Linked DNA regions of Lepisosteus oculatus. The protein of the gene in region 1 interacts with the protein of each later gene in a pairwise test. Links are inferred from orthologs where the notes say so. Each region holds a gene or a part of one and is shown on either strand. Other genes may lie near its edges. The genes, in order: ush1c and pre-mRNA splicing regulator USH1G.

Region 1 (8,525 bases):
GAATACAATAAAATAATAAAAAACACACGTTTCGTTTTATGGTGAAACTTAATTTAGAATCCATCCGTGCTTCATATGCACCAGGTGTTGATGGAATCAATTTCTCCAAGAAAAGCCAGATTAAAAAAAGTAGTTTAGCTGTAAAGGAGACACATTTTTCTATGATAATGTAGAAGTTTGTTTTTCAGGTGGACTTTCTCTTCTGTTTCAGATCTGAGAGCATCCCTACTCCTGCTTAAAGAATGACGACAGGCACTAATTAACATAATTTATTCAGGCAGGTATCAGAGGCCATGCAAATGAGCAAACTACCGTAATGTTAACCTATGTCAGAAGTCTGTCTTAAAATGTATAAAATGCGTATGTCCGTCTTTAGTCATTAAGTTCTGCTTGAAACAGCTTATTAAAAACGCATTTCGGAGGAAATAGAATATTACTTGCTGTTCAGACTCCTTGCCCAGAGAACGGTCTGATTTAAGCCTCTCCTGTTTTGACTTAAATTATCCGTTATACCAGAGTTGACTTTTATTCTCCTTTTCATTTGAAGGTTTTGTGCCTCGATTGTTTTAAGACTGAGAAGTGTAAACGTAAACTACAAAATAATTAAAATGCATTTGAAAAATTATTATAGACCAAGCTTGTGGTCTACTTTCACAGTTTAAATCCGAATCCGTTAAAAAACAAAAGGAGATTTTTCTGTTCATTGTACTTTACAAAAACAAAACTGAATCAAAAAGGTGAGATGTTAAATTTTTAAGATACCTTCACAATTCCACACAAACCTGTTTGGGAATAGGGGATTGAATAAGTAAGTAGGTCGCCACCTAGCGGAGATCTGAGTTAACACTCACCTGTTTCCCTTCACATTGAAAAAATGTTTATTTGTTAAAGCTATATATACTATATATAGGGCACTTATTTCCAGAAGGGATACATGTTTAAAAGTAAAAGACTTCATTTCAGAGATTAATGTATGCTTATAAAATAGATAACTATCATCATCGTAGTTAACCCCTTATTCTTGTTACGTTAACATTAATACCGTAAGCCATGTTAAATATTTTTTCACCGTTTATTTGTAATTCTTATTCACAAATTAATTATGTTTCAGAAATATTGTCGACCAGAGGTATCTTAATAGGGCGTAGTAAGAACTCGGGTACATTATATTGTACCAGTTCGGAAAGAGATGTCAATCCAGTGGAGAGCGCATTCGTGAAACAGTATTCATTCTTCCCCGAAAGTATTTATTCCTAAAATATAGTGATTTTTAAAAACAAATGCTGGATACAGTATACACAAACTACAAAACGGAAGGAAGCGGTTTGTTGAGAGTATTTGTACGAGGAGACCGGCCGGTATTCACACCGGAGCGGTCTATGCGCAGCAGGTAGCTGTACCTGCGTCTTTCCAGCCTTGTATTGAAAGGAACAGGGAAGCGCCTTGAGCGCTCCGCTCCTCCCAGCGCCGGACAGACAGCCGCAGAGGAGCAGCACTAACGAGCTCGGCAGAGCCGGCAGCGCGGACAGGAGCCCGGTGTTGCGCACAACCATGGAGCGAAAAGTTGCTCGCGAATTCAGGCATAAGGTAGGAAACGCGGGGGCTTGGGATGAGACGTGTGTATCAAGACATGTACAGTACATGTAAAACAGTCTTTTAAAAAAAAAACGCCAAGATGACAAAAGACATGTACTATATGTACTCTGACCCCTATCAATTAACCATGTACATGGGGGAAGGGCGTTGTACGTGGCAGTTATGTACGTTTACTAACTTATTTACTTACTTAATTTATTTTATTTCTTGAATGTTTTTATTATTATGAATTCTAACAGTTGCGGTAATTGTTACTCTTAGCTGAGAAAATGTGTAGCGCAGCTAATGGAGTGTAGTGGAGTGTATCGAAATAACTTGTATTTACTATTTTTAATTTGCTTTTTGTTGGACGGAATTTATAAATTATAGTTCATTTGATACAGTATTGTGTTTCAAAACAGGAGCAAGAATGGGATTACTATGCAAATACTAATCAATACAGTAGGCTGCACTTCAGAAAACGTGATAAACTCTCGCAGTTTCTAGGCCTACATCTGTGATTGATTGGGTTTAGGAACGATGCTACAATGTGAATTTCTAAAAGTTATTGTCAAAAACACTAAATAATACACAAGTCCAGATGCTCAGATGTGGAAAACAGTTAACTGGTAGCATCTGTACACATACAGTACAACACATGGTCTATAAAACATCATGTTGCTAAGGATCATAATTTATAACGTTAAAAACGAACAAAAAAACATCAAATATCTGACACGCCACATGATATGAAAGTTGCACCATGGGTAGGGGTAGGTTCTTCCATATAAAAAAGACTCACTGTGCCTTAGTCGCTAAATTGCGACCCCATAAAGCTGTGCTCTTCAGCACATAATTTATAGATGCTACCAAATATGTTCAGTGAGGCAGAAACATTCTTTGCTGATTTACTGTTGATTAAATTAGAATGACATCAAAGGGGGAGAACGCTGCATAATAAAGGACACTTGGCTTTGAATCAACAGAGCTCGGTTGACCTTTTATCTAATTTGTCACTCCTGATTGTGCTTGAAATGCCGTTTCTGGTTTTTCTGAAGGCTGTACTTTCTGAAAAATGGCACTCAAGAGGAAATATTCCCAAACTGTTTTGTTTTGTGCTACGCATTATGCTCATTTGCAAAAAAGGGGAAATAATCCTTCTTGAAGGAGAGGATTACAAAGATGTTTAAACTCGCTCTTCTTCTGTCATCTCACCTGAGAAGATTACAAACCAGAGGAGGCCATTTGATCCATCTCACGTGTTTGCTGCTACTACTGTGGCTAAACTCTTTCAACCGTGTTCCCATATAGTGAGGATGAACTAACATGAAAATGTAAATTGTTTTCACATGTTGTGCCATTATGTTCAATATCACTCATTTAACAGTGTTTACAGACTTTAAATATATACAGAAAATGTCACTTTTAGATATGCCGTTTTAAATCTTCTCTGGTGCTCTTATTTAACACAAATTGGAATATGTACTTAAGTGCTATTTTCAATTTTTATTTTTAGCTTCTGTTTATTTAATGTCCATTTTTTACGTCATAGTTTGCTGGTATTTCACTATCAGTATGGCAAGTTTTATGGCTTTCAAGTATCAAAGTCTTTGGGGTGGTATGAATTGTGCAATAATGAGTTACGAGACGTATGAATGTTTCTACCTACTCAGCGGTATAGCTGCCATTTTGCACACATCATCTTTAATTACATAGTAAAGGCTCCATTTTAATACAACTCAGGTTGAAATCTAAATTTAGACACAGTGCATTGTGTGCTGCAGATGATTCAGTTAGGAATATTTGCAATCCACTTTTGTACTTTGCAATGCTGCAAGACTGTATTCTCAGAAAGGAAGGGGCTCTAACACTGACTGAACATGCACCTTGAAAATGTGTTGAAAAGGTTTTTAAATATCATGGGAGGAATATTATTTATGCTTGCATGAGGAAGCTTAAAGAAAGGCAGGTAGGGCAGTAGCTGTTGTTGACAATAGGGTCTATTAGTGTTACTTCTTGATGAGCTGTCCCAAAGCGGACAAAGTTGCATCTGTCTGTAATTTGTAAAGTTACAAAGAGAAAGGGGTAGTTGTCAGGACACCACCATCACAGATACCAGAGTACCAACTCCAGTCACAGTGCTGTCAGTCTGTGCTGGTGTAACAGGGCTCATGCACTGAGTCAGTGACAGAAGTGACATCACCCCCTTCTGAAAGCTAGACAGGGTAAGACTCTGTGACAGAAGAGGACCTGGTGTTGAAGTCCACTGCATTCTACAGCTCCACAGGAGCAGAAGTCTCCTCTGGCTGTGTGGTTCTGGGTCACTAGCAGTTGTGATCAGATCCCGGCAGGAGCAGAGTGGAGTCACGCTGATCACTGATGGCATGGAGAACTCTCCCGTTAGAGACCCGGGTGTTTTGGAGTGGCAGGGTTGTCCACAGTCTAGAGCCTGTGATTGGCCTAAACCAGTGCCTCATGACCTGGGATAATGTTGGAGGTGGTTTCATCTTTTAGACGAGACGTTAAACCAAGGCCCTGCTTACTTGGTCAGATTGCATGATAGTGTTTATATGAGTGAGCTTTTTAATTAACCCCAGTGTCCTGACTACTCTGGACTTTCACAATCTGGCCTTCTTAAAGTTTAGCCCTTTGGTGACAACATTTTTCTTTCCTTGTCTGGATCTGCTGTCCCAGGCAGAAGCTTCTTTTCAGCGGTGCATGAATTGCATCACCTACAAAGCGCCTAATAATTTTAATGAATAATATTAGATATTCTTAAAATTCATATTAAAGCAGTTTCTTTGATCAAAACAAACTTAATCTGAAGGAAAGTTTATTTCCAAATGCGACAGAAATCAGACCTTTTTGGGTTACTAATAGAGTCGGGAGAAAAGGCCTCTTTATATACTGTACTGCAGGGCCTGTGGAAAGGAGGCTGTAGTTGAATGTGTTGTAAAGTGACACTGCTCCAGCTGAACCTCCCATTACCACGCATAGAAGTGGCTACTAGTACTGAGCCAGATGAAGGCTGCAGGCTGAGCAGAGAAAGCGATCTGCCCCGGGAACTTATTGTAGACAACAATACCCTCTGGATAACTGTAGCACTGCTCTTGAGCCAGTGATCACTTTACACAAGCAGCTACACTGATTCTGGATGGGAGGAATGTGCTACATTAATGAATGGCCGAAAAGGTTTTTGAAAATATTTGTCCAGCAGTTCAGCCGTTACCAGGTAAGGGACTATATAAACGCATGACTTTCTGCAATGCCGTATGTGGGATCCGTTTTTCATTTTTGTTGAAATCCTTTTGTATGCTCTCTAAAGACGTTCATCAAGTCAGTTCTGAATATGTATATTATCAGCATGTTAAAACAATGTTATCATTGTGTGGTTGCTTTACTTTGTAGGTGGAATTGCTTATTGACAATGAAGCTGAAAAGGATTACCTTTACGATGTGCTGCGGATGTACCACCAGTGAGTCCTGTTTTTTCTTGGCTATTTTCTTCTGATATTGTCCATTTTACCCACTACTATTTATACAATATTTTTAAGATATTTTGTTAATATTCTCAATGTAGACTTATAGTACTGTATCACACTATTAATATTTTACCCATGAATAATAAGTTTTCTTTCCATTTGTGCTGGAAACAGGAAAGTTATTTAAATGTGATGCATGAAATGCAGGTCTCTTAAAATCCCAGCATGTTATGAAATGCAGAACATTTCTCACATCAAGTAAAATGTTTATTTTATGTATAAATGATTGTACTTTTATCATTACTGCATAGCTTAGTAATGTTAGTTCATCTTTTGATTTCAGTGAGACACTCTGCTTATCCACACTGCACATTTTGCATTTAAAAAGACTGAATCGATTTCATACACTTTAATAACTAAACTTCAGCAGATGTGCTTATACGGTATATTCTGTCAAGATTTGTCTGAGGAATACTGACAAAAGAATTCCGCAGTGGGAGGTATTGTTTCCACTGAGTTGTGTAATAATAGCAGCTGAATGGAGTGAAATGTAGATGTTGCAGAAGTTTCCATGTGATCTTTGTAAGGAGGAACAGTTTTGTTTCTCACTGGATATGTATCCAGTTCTCTTTCACTCCCTGTCCAATTGAACCTCTATTCATATTCGCTTTTGCTTGTGCGTCAGAAATGAAATAGCTATGGTTAATAATTTAAAGACTCCACCAGGTTGCTAAATTCATAAACAGCTGTCATACAATGCCAGAGCAGTTTTTATGAGGTATAGTTTACTACAGTGCTTCAGGAACTTGCTGGTACCTTTATGCTCAGCAGCTGTGGAGAACTTTTAAGTGAACCATAACATGATTTATAGAGATCTGCAAAGTACCTCCTATCCAGTGGTTGTCATCGTGTACAGTATACAGTATTACAGAAAATAAGGCACTAATTTAAGCATGAGCTAATGTATTCAGGCAATTTTAAGTTCACTGAGATTTTTTATTATCCAAAAGTATTCTTCACTTTTAGAACTGTTGTCATTGTTTTAATAAGCTAATTTTCCACATTTAATATCTTTGCTTAACTGGATTTGATATACTGTAGATGTCGGTATGGTGCAGTCATTTTCCTTTGACCTATTTTAATTTTTAGGACCTGTTTAGTAATGGAGAATTAATACTTAATTGTGTCAGAAGGCATTATTTTGTTACAGTGCCTCTTAGTTATAAGAAAGTGCATAATATACATTTTTTTTAAAATGACAACCTCACGGAGATGTCCCAAAATATATTATGAAACTACCACAGAGCAAAACAGCTTTTTACATTTACATTTATTTGTGTTAATTGCAACAAGTTTTTTAAGTAGATTTGGTTATCCATTGTATAAACATTTCCAAGAGGTTTTCAGATAATTTTCATTATCTCGTTGCTTGAAAGTCGGGGTGGCAGATATATTTTTAATTGTACAGTACATGATGTTTCAATGTTAAAGTCAATATACATTACACATCACATGTCACAGTATTGTACCGTTTGATAGGAGCAGGAGTCATTAAGGCTATTGACTGAAATGGGTAGGTGTGTCAGGGGGTTACTGCGATGGTATCCTTGAACTAGTGCTTGACTCAGATTGCTCCAGTAAAAAAGCTGCTGTATAAATGCATGCTCTCAAGGTTGCTGTGGTAAATGAGAATTTGTTCTCAGCTGGCTTGTCTGATTGAATAAATCAACCACGTTTAGTCATTCGGATGGTTCCAGGGAGTATTTTAATTCATAATTTCTCACATTTTCTAAATGTTCTATTTCATCAGTGTTCTCAGGCCTCGAGCCTTAAAGGCTGTTTGACACAGAGTAAGTTGTCAAAAGGAGACATTTATTGTTGAGCTCGAGATATACAGCTGTACCCCTGCCATTGCTGGGCTGATGTTAAAGCTCTTTGTTCTGGTAGCCCTTCATCTTTTCTTTCCCAGATCTATGGACCTCCCTGTCTTGGTTGGTGATCTAAAGCTGGTCATTAGTGAGCCAAGCCGCCTGCCTCTTTTTGACTCCATTCGACCTCTCATCCCCCTGAAGCACCAGGTGGAGTATGACCAGCTCACCCCTAAACGGTCAAGGTGAGCAGGCTTCTGCAGATGCCCATGTAACGATGCTGTAAAACAGATGGGCCAAGCTTGGAAGAAATGTAGAAAAGAAAAAAAAAGAGTTTGATATATAATCCCATTTTAACTGAATTGCTGGTTTTCAGATTCACTGATCCACATCTAAATGTAATGGAATGAGTTTAGCAGTGAGACAGAGTTTTTGTGATTGAGGTTGAAAAAGAAACTGGCCCATGAGATTCTATTTGTAAGCAAAAGAAACACAATTTAATGAACATATAAAAATAACATAAGCAACTGTATCTGTTTACTTTAACATTATACAGTGAAATGGATAGGATTACTCCTGAAAGAAGAAAGTATTTCTGTGTTAGCAAAAGAGAAAACAACTGACTAAGTTGAAAAGTTGAAAGGCAGCTATATTTTGAATGTACTGTATAGTACATTATTAGGTTTAAAATGCAAACAATGCAAGCTTGTAAATCACAGCTGATAAGAAAGAATTAAAACAGGTACACATGTTCTATATGGCCTTTCCAGTGTAAGTGTTTGTTTTAATAGTATTACCTTATTGTGATTGGAAAAGGAAACCCAGTGTTTCTGTTTGTCACTTGAATGCGCCACTTTTTCACACTGGAAATGTAGGAAGCTGAAAGAAGTCCGCTTGGACAGAACCCATCCTGAGGGACTGGGACTGAGTGTCCGTGGAGGATTGGAGTTTAACTGTGGGCTTTTCATTTCACAAATAGTCAAGGATGGACAAGCTGACAACGTGGGCCTGCAGGTAAGGAATCTCACTTGCATGCGTGTGCTGGGAATAATGGCGGACACTACACATACAGTACATACAGTAAATATCCATCATATGACCTAAAGCTCTTAGGACATTTGAGGTACTGTATGCAGCAAACTCCTGTCTTGCACCCTGCCAGGATAGGTTCAGGCTGACCACAGCCTTCATCATCTTTCTGATAATGGATCCATGGTGAATCCAAAGAATGTTTGATTGGTTAAAAACAACCCTAAAATGTGACGTGTATTAATGAATTGTTACGGAGGTTCGGGAATGTGCACCAAGTTGATTATTTTCACGAATAATAAGGAAAAAAACATTTTCTTAAAGAAAAAACAAATTAAATGCTGAATGTAACTTTGGCCATTTAAAAACAGCAAACTTTTGAGCATTATACTGGAAAATTTCATACTTTTTATTCGTCTTTCAACAATATCATTATCCTTGCAGCAGTTCATTGGTTACATGTTTTGATGTTTAGAAATAAAATAAAAAATGTCTTTGAGAAGAATATATCTCAAAGTTATACTGCATAAAAATGAACATTACACTTATTTCTAAATATAGGACTCAGCTA
Region 2 (8,569 bases), on another chromosome or scaffold:
TATCCAGAATAACCAAACCCAAATTCCTTTGCATTCTTATTCATCCCAAATTACCAGTTACATTTTTTTGCATCACTTCAAAGCTCAAGAGATTGGCTAAGAAAATATTGCATTTTGTAAACCTTTCACGTTCAAGTGCTGTTTTAAAATGGATTTATTACTGATAATATATACAAGGACTACATTGTACCTTCACAGTAGTGTAATGAATTAATCTGATTTCCTGGTGATACAGTTCTGAACTGATGTACTTTTCTTATAACCAGTCAGTTGAGTCTTACGATTTTACCAACCGCCCTGAAGCAGAACTGAGCCTCGGAGAACAAACTGCACCCCAAAAGCGAAGAGAGGCTCACCTCTTAGCCAAATGGGTCCAGCGTGGCTGTCCTTGTAGAGTATGGCACTGTCCACCTGTGAGGTGTATGCCACATAGAAGATCATCCAGCTAGTGTTCAGGAGGAGGAGGAGTGTCAGGTAGATCTGGACATCGATCTGTGTGATGGCCACCTCGTTAAAGGCTCCCCCACTGACCAGCGCGCAGCCCAGGAACAAGATGTTGACTGTTATGAGGCACGAGATCAGCCTTCCGCGGTTCCGGCCTTTCTCTCTTGGGGGGCTACTGCTGGGGTTCTCTGGCAGGCTGGACGACCTCAGAGGATCCCCCACCACTGCCTGGTCCCTCATCACAGCCACCATAGTGTTAGGACACGGGCTGCCTTCATTCAATTCTCCCTCCATCTTCCGGCAGACGTCTGTGGGGAAGAAGAAATGGTGTCAGCATGCTGTCACAATCAGGCTGCCCACTACCTGAAGTGAGACAGCCAAATCCTTCACTTATTACCTTCTTCTGAGTTAACTTACTGTTTTTTTTCCAGAGCAGCTGGTAGCTGGCATTTTTCTGAAGATGGGGCATTGTAGCAAGTGAAGCTGGGGATGAGCTCACAAGCCTCATCTGCTGTGATGCATTTGCTTGATAACAGCTAAGGACTGCTAATGTCTCTTCCTCATTCCGAACATTTCCTATCTCGTGCTGGAATTTTAGTGTCCTGCTGATTCTAAATAAATTTACCATGAGCCCAAAGTGTTTCCATAATTCCATTTAAGAGTAATGCTCTGTGAAACATATGTTCAGTATATGATTTATAAATCATCTCTAATGCAATTTTTTTTCACAGAACTAACAACCAAAAAAAGGACTGCTTCTATTTTTTCTTTTTAGAAGCATAACTGCATATGAGTAGTTAACAGTCACATCTGCTTTTTATTAGATATCATGTCAGTGCATGAGAAAATATCGATAATTGTTTCTATTGACATTTTTATATTAAGAGATCCACAGAGCTTAGATAACGGTTCCTAGATAACCAAAGATTCAATAAATAATATTTTATTAAACATAAATCTGTAAATGTACTAGGTAAAAATTCTATGAATAATAACGGCGTATAGAGTGAGTCAAAATTCAAATATAATTTTATTTGATTCAAATATTTGCAAAGCAGCTTTAGCAAATTGAATGAGCAAGGAGTGAACACCCTTTAATTTATAGAACACTTTCAAAAGTCAATACAAAAGTCATGAACAAATTACAAATGGAAAAGAAAACACATAAATCACTGTTTGAAAAAAAAACATTTTAAAAGCAGGTGATGGTGGCGGCTCAAAGCCACAGAAGTACAGCAATCTACAGACCTGGGGCTGCAGGACGTCTTACTCACATTTGTAGGCAGACCTTAGATTCTAGAAGGAATCGCAATTTAAAATAGAATATGGCCAAGAGAAGGCGTCAGCAGCAAGTTAATTCAACATGAAGGGCCAGAGTCACTCATGTTGAAGTCAAATGAAAATATTAAAATGTCCTCTATGAGTACCCAACACAGAATCGCTGCAGGATAAGGAAGAAACACGCAACAGTCCTAAGCGAAGAAAGTTGTCAGTCTAAAAACGAATACTGCAGCATGTTCTCATTCAAGCAGATATGCTAAAGGTTCGGTAGATCTTGTTCTAGGTTTAGCAATATCAGCTGACACAGTGACTTCTACCTTAAAAGAAAGAAAATCTGCATTTTGTAATGCTTTACAAACCTCCATTAGCCAATTAGTCCTCGAGGAAAAGAAACACATAGCAGCTCTGTGAGTTGTCTCAGATGCGAGGTACCGTCATATTTGCGAACCATATGGCACTATTTACCTTTTCAGAACTTTTGGAGGAAGTAACGTTGACTGATATATACGTAGAAATGGGCAAATTAAAATATGAATGAAAGTGTTACACCCAAACAGCCCTTGCTTAATCTGGAGCCCTGCTATCTGACCTGCTTCCTTTAACAAGAGGTGATAACACAGTTCAAGGTAAATGCACTCTTTTTCGAGCTTTTATTTTTGCCAGCCGAGGTGAGAGAATAAAAAAGTGTATATATTTAAGATAAAGGCTGGGCTGCCAAACAAACGCCCAGCAAGGCTCACTCTGTTTTTCTTTGGTCTGCTGTAACTTTCTGTTTAACTATTAGAATTTGATCATTCTTTTCCATCTGGCTAGTATATACGAATACACTCACATTAGCAAATGAGTAGTTGCTCATGTGGCCAGTGTAGCAAGGAAAAAATATACACATGCTACCCAGCAGGATTCTCTAAATCTGGTTCCAGAGAACAATGAAGTCTTCTGCTTTTCAATCCAATTGTTTTGCTGAACAAAATAATGGCCTTAATCCGACAAGATAAACATGATCTTTCATCAGTCATTGAAGACCTCATTCAATGACCTCAGGAGCAGGGCTGAATATAGGCTGCAGATTTCTGGTCAATCCTTTTTCAACAGTATTTTGCATTTGCCAGTGTTTGTTTCCGACATCACAATCAGTGGAATATTAGCCCATAAAAGAAGAGAAAGCAAAATTCAGAAACAGAATTCACCAGTCAAGGAAGAGTGCGGCTGATCTTACCTGATGGGTTAGTGGAGTTCCTCTTAGGTTGAAACTCCAGAATCAGTCATCAGCTTTATACCCATCTCCTGTCCCAGTGATTTACTGTCATTTATTTTTCTGTCACTGATTTACCAAATAAAGACATTCAACAGAACATCGTAAATTTAGATTTCTGCAATTCAACAAGCAAAAAAATCAAATATCTCATCAATAACTTATTGCCATTTGAGCCTGTTCATTTATTTAGATTCTAAAGGATAAGGATAATGATATAATAATAAAAGCATGCAGTTAGGCAAAAACTACCCACTCTCTGTCACTGAAGAACTGAACATGAGATCCTCTATGAAGTTGTCCCCCCATAACTGATAATATGTTTCTGTTTTTCTCAACAGCTATATACTTCTGTCAGACCTCTGTGATGCCTTACAATGAACCTTGGCCTTTTCTATACTTTTGTTTGAGCAGGTCTTTCTTTCAAGAGAGGAACAGGACACTTTTTTAATGAAAAGCCAAGGAAAATACATCAGAACGTGTATTTGTACATGCTACAGTTGAAGTGCATTGATTGTGATCTTAACGGGCACAAGATTCCAAAGTTACATTATTACTCAATGTTTTGTCGGCATTGCGTCTGCTGTGATGACACCAAAAGTATAAGATGTTGTGCTCAGTCTTATAGCCATGCCACTTCTGGTTATTGTATGCTTGTTCACCTGATAGCAGTAATATAATTCCATGTATTTAGGTCTCTGTAAAGTCTTTGTTTTCCAGAAATTTACTGAATGATTCTCATTTAAGAGATAATGTTCATGTTTCTGAATTGTAAATCCTACATCAGATTTCTGCATGAGTCATTCTGAGCAGCTTGGACAAAAGTAAAAACATGTACTTTCAGAAATAAAGGAATATTAATATGGATTTTACGATATCAATGTTTTCACAGCCAAATGAACAGCAGCATAGTAATTGGATGCACTGAACTACACTGGAATTATTTAACTTCCCAGTAGCTCTCATAGGCATTCATAATCACCAGAGAAGACTTTGAAACTGTACTATAAATATTATTATAAAATATAAATCACACACAGTTTTTTTTTTCCACAGGGCTGGCGATAGCAAACTTAGTTATTTTTAACTGTGAGAAATGGTCTCAGTTGAAAGGAGAAACAGATAATAAATTATTTATGGAGTGCCATAAAGAAAACTTCTAAAACAAGAAGGATAAGTTGCTCAGAGCATAATATGTAGGGGCATATTAAAATGTCTCATTATTTATTTCATTTCGGTGAATGTGAATTGAAACAAACTAATAAAACTTTACAACATGACAGTTTAAATTTAGTATACAGTATCTATAAATACACTTAGTTGATGTGCCTGCGATGCAAAATTATCAGTGCTAAATGATTTTGTGCAAACATTATTTTGAAGTTATGTAAAATCAGTAAAAGAAGACATATACAAGACTGACATCTAGTAAAATGTAAAACTGGCCACCTGTTTATCTCAATTACATATTTCAGATTAGTGCTTAAATGTATTACTGTACCTTCCTACTTTAATTGCTAAATATGCATACATATTTAAAACCACTAACAGTTCTACGAACATTTTATATTTAAAATATTTTATTTTATACATTGGGTTTGAAACATAAGTTAATAAATATATAAATATGATCAAATTCAACTCCTTATACATTTGACATTCATGATACTTTGAGGCTGTCTCTATTGTTAGGACCCAGGGGACTCTGCAAGGGTAATGCTTTCCTTAAACCACTCCCCGCTCCGCAAACGGCTCAGGTGTCCGTAGCAACCGGACAGGCTTCGCTCTTTTAGCAGCTAGCCCGGGTAGAAAGAGACGGAGCCGCTGTCCCCACCCTCCTGCCGGATTGCCCCTTCCGCATGGAGGGCTAGCTGCCCCCGGCTCCTGCTACCCGATGCTTGGATGTAAAGGTGGAGACGACAGGTTGGCATCATGACTGACAGATACCACAGAGCTGCCCGGGACGGCTATTTGGACTTACTGAAAGAGGCCACCAGGAAGGATCTTAACGCTCCGGACGAAGATGGAATGACACCCACTCTCTGGGCCGCCTATCACGGCAACCTTGAGGCGCTGCGGCTCATAGTGGGAAGAGGGTGAGTTGGAGGCATAAAGTTTCAAAACGCGGTCCTTCTCCAGGGTTTCATATGTGGCAACTACTGCACGCAGGTATTTAATTGGATAATCAACAGAACCGTGCAAGGCAACCCGCTCGGTTTTTTAAAATGCAGGTCTCCATCTGGCAAGTTCTGGTTGCATTGTTCGTGGAGTGTTACATTGAAGAGCCATTTAATTTCAAACAAAATCGTTCCTGCAGGACGACACGCATTTAATGATGTGAAACTACTTTTGCCTAATAAAATAAGGTGAAGAGTGGCGGACTTTAAAATATAAGAGGCTAATATGGCTTTAGTTTTCAGATCTGTTGGACCCAGAAGCTTTCTTCTGTGTACGTATTGTTTTACTTGCACAAAATAGAATTTGCAAATATATGCATGATTTCATAAGTTACTTTTACATTAAAAGTATATTTAAAATAGTGTGAATTGGCTTCTCCCCAGGCGCAGGTGCATATGATCACCTCTGACCTGAAATGGGCTTATAATTGACTGATTGATTGTGGGAGTTACTGTGTGGTGCTGCAGCGTTTAGGTTTTAAGGGCTCAGGATAGCCGGGAGCCTTGGAATAAAGCTGACTTATGTGGCGTGCAAAAAAGTCGTGTAATGAATGATGCTGTTTACATAATTAGGTCAACTCGTTGTAACGCGCATAAAGGGTCCGGACACCGCAGTGTGCCAGTGAAACTGAAAATATGAAACAGGAGAATACAGCCGATCGCTATCTGAGGGGTGCCTGTTGTTAGTTGTTATTCACGGAGAATGGTTCTCTCTCCCATTGTGGGGGTGTCGCCACAGGGTTGCGACTTGAGATGAGGCAGAGTCTTGACTTCTGCTTTGCAGAATCAGTCAGTCCACACCTATCCCATTGTCTTATAAACAAGAACTGCAAACCGTGAGGTGAATATTATTATTATTATTATTATTATTATTATTATTATTATTATTAGTAGTAGTAGTAGTAGTAGTAACAATGATAAAAATGTTTCCTATTTTCTAAGTTGCTTGTCCAGAAAATTTGAAAAAAGGATAACAAAAATAAAGATTTTTTAAAAAACATCTCTATCCACAACTAAGATTACAGAGTCTAAATTATATTCTCTTAGATGGAAATCTTTTAACATGGTCTGACATGATACATAAAACATGTAACGGTGTCTTCTAACAACCCTCTGCCTTGTCTTATCTACACCTTGCAAATGCAATTGAGACATGTCTCGTCAGCTTAAACTGGGGGTTCACTCAAATGCTTTGTCCACACTTTACATCAGTCATTGTGATCACTTGTTACAGGGAGAACTGTATTTAGTCCTGAGGAGCCACAGTCAGTTTAAAGGTCAGTCATGATTCATCAGTTCTTAAAGATGAGGAACAGTTTCATCTTGAGCAGTGAAATACTTCATTTGTTCATATAAAATTTTTTAGATAATTATGTATGTAAGTCTTAGCTCTGTGCAGATTTGGAAAACAGAGTTGCCTACTACTGGCATAATATTTTTTAACCTTTGCTTAACTGATCAAAAAAAGTTTGTTTCCTGTTTTTAAAGTTACTTGTTGGCCTAAATTGTACATTTCCAACACATAAGAAAAAAAAAGCACCATTCTTTTTACCTGCTCATCATCTCAATCAGAGTATCCCCTCTGCCGTTTTTGATTACATTTGATAATTTTAAGATCTGAGCATATGAATGACGTCCAGCTTTCCATCTGCATCTTGTAGATTACTTGTGTGTCATTAAGTCATAATCCCCTGTTGATGACCTCAGAATGCACCTTGCCATAATTGATGACATCACTAGTTGACAAACCTACAAGTATGCAAACTGTGACTGATTGACCCTAGGCTTCGCTAAATGGCACATCAAAAACAATTACTATGTACTGAAATCATTGTGTTAAGCAGTGACTCATGTTGATATTTAAAGTTTTGGTCTTATAAAATAAAATGATCAAAAAGTCCACCCTCAGTATTGGGGCACAGTTCCCTTTGTGTAAGAAATCAGTAGAAAGCTAAAACAAAAAAGTTCTGAGTTTTATAACAAAACCTATACTGGCATCATCATGAAACAGGCTTTGAAACAACTGGCACGAGTGCCAGTGGTTTCTTGCACCATGACACTTTCCCCAGTGAACTGAGAACAGGTGTTGAGAAATGCTGATTGGAAAAGGTCATGCTTAGGTGATCACACACAGAAAGGACTAAGGCACTAAGACCAACCTTACACAAGCAACAAGCAACAGTGTTTTTTAATAAGAGGAAAAAAGGTAAAGTGTACAGTGATCTCAGACAGGGAATAACTAGGATATTTTTCATGTCCGTTTTTCCAAGAGGCCTACTTCTGATAATATGTAAGCAGTTCTTAAATAATAAGAATAATTTCATTTAAGTTTGTGGATCTGTGCTACAGTTTAACATGTGACCAGGTGTTTTCACCAATGGGTACATTCTTGTGAAGTACTGCATATCGTATGGCTTGTTTTCTTATTTTTTGTGTTGAAAATTGTTCAGCTCTTTAAGACACTTGTCAGGTTATGTAGGGCTCCCAGAAAATTAAATGTATTCACAGACTGAAGAGAAGTGAATCGTGTCATCCCTGAGCAAAAGGTGGTAATGGTGTTTTTATCTTTTCAACATCATTCTTCAGTGTAAGGGTTTTTGCTTAAAATTTAAAATTCATTTTTTAGTGTTTTAATCTGGACCTTAGCTTGAGTACATCTTACAATTTCACATTTTTGGCTTCCTGGTCTAAGTGATTTATGGATCACTTAAAGTCCAATATTGTTCCTCTTCAAAACAGAACAGTGTTGTACTGTTTTTGTAATTGTATTTCTATTTTGGGGTATCTTTAGGCATTAGTGATATATGGATATATGGAGGCTTTTGTAGATTTTTTTTATAGATACAGAAACAGTACCCGTGAGACAGACAGAGAGAGGGGTGATGATTTAATCGCTGGGTTGGCAGTTTTATAGCAGGTAGTATATAGTGTTGTCCAATTAAGTTGTAGACAGGAGGGAAGGCTGAATACATTTTCTCAGAAGGAAGTTAAAGGTCAGGATGACAGATTGATGAGCTTTGCCTATATGAGCCTGCTTCTCTTTTAAATCTGCCATGTCCTTGTTGCAGATTGGGAGTTGATCCATCCAGGCATTTTCTACCCTCTTGGCTTGGTATTTCTTAAAAATGCTTTTGATATAAACAGCTATTAAGAAATCAGTTCTTAAGAAACATAAAGCATTAAGTGCCTGTGTGAAGGGTGGAAAGCAGAAATCATGGCTTTTGATGTTTGATGCATATTTTAATAATTTTGAAAGAAAATTAACATGTACTGTAGATTGAGCTTTTTATTTACTGTAGATAGTTTTCTGAATATGACTGATGGGGTTGGAAGTGTGAGATTACCCTGGGGAAAACTGTCCTTCTATGACACACAAAGAGGTTTTGCGATCTTAGATTCTGGTCTGTCCACC

The links.
Region 2: the proteins of ush1c (region 1) and pre-mRNA splicing regulator USH1G interact in binary tests that used the Homo sapiens proteins (3 or more experiments, as listed by UniProt). The link is inferred for Lepisosteus oculatus from reciprocal best matches to the Homo sapiens genes USH1C and USH1G.

What each region holds. Positions count from the first base shown.
Region 1 is NC_090716.1:12,309,419-12,317,943, forward strand, and holds the start of ush1c (harmonin), read left to right. Parts: upstream 1-4,618; 5' UTR 4,619-4,729; coding exon 4,730-4,807; intron 4,808-4,983; coding exon 4,984-5,051; intron 5,052-7,026; coding exon 7,027-7,170; intron 7,171-7,800; coding exon 7,801-7,939; intron 7,940-8,525. UniProt on the Homo sapiens protein: Anchoring/scaffolding protein that is a part of the functional network formed by USH1C, USH1G, CDH23 and MYO7A that mediates mechanotransduction in cochlear hair cells. Required for normal development and maintenance of cochlear hair cell bundles.
Region 2 is NC_090704.1:43,172,159-43,180,727, forward strand, and holds the start of pre-mRNA splicing regulator USH1G, read left to right. Parts: upstream 1-4,608; 5' UTR 4,609-4,912; coding exon 4,913-5,076; intron 5,077-5,214; exon of another isoform or gene 5,215-5,998; intron 5,999-6,709; exon of another isoform or gene 6,710-6,798; intron 6,799-8,569. Other genes in the region: proton channel OTOP2, read right to left, coding at 357-752, 862-952. UniProt on the Homo sapiens protein: Plays a role in pre-mRNA splicing by regulating the release and transfer of U4/U6.U5 tri-small nuclear ribonucleoprotein (tri-snRNP) complexes from their assembly site in Cajal bodies to nuclear speckles, thereby contributing to the assembly of the pre-catalytic spliceosome on target pre-mRNAs.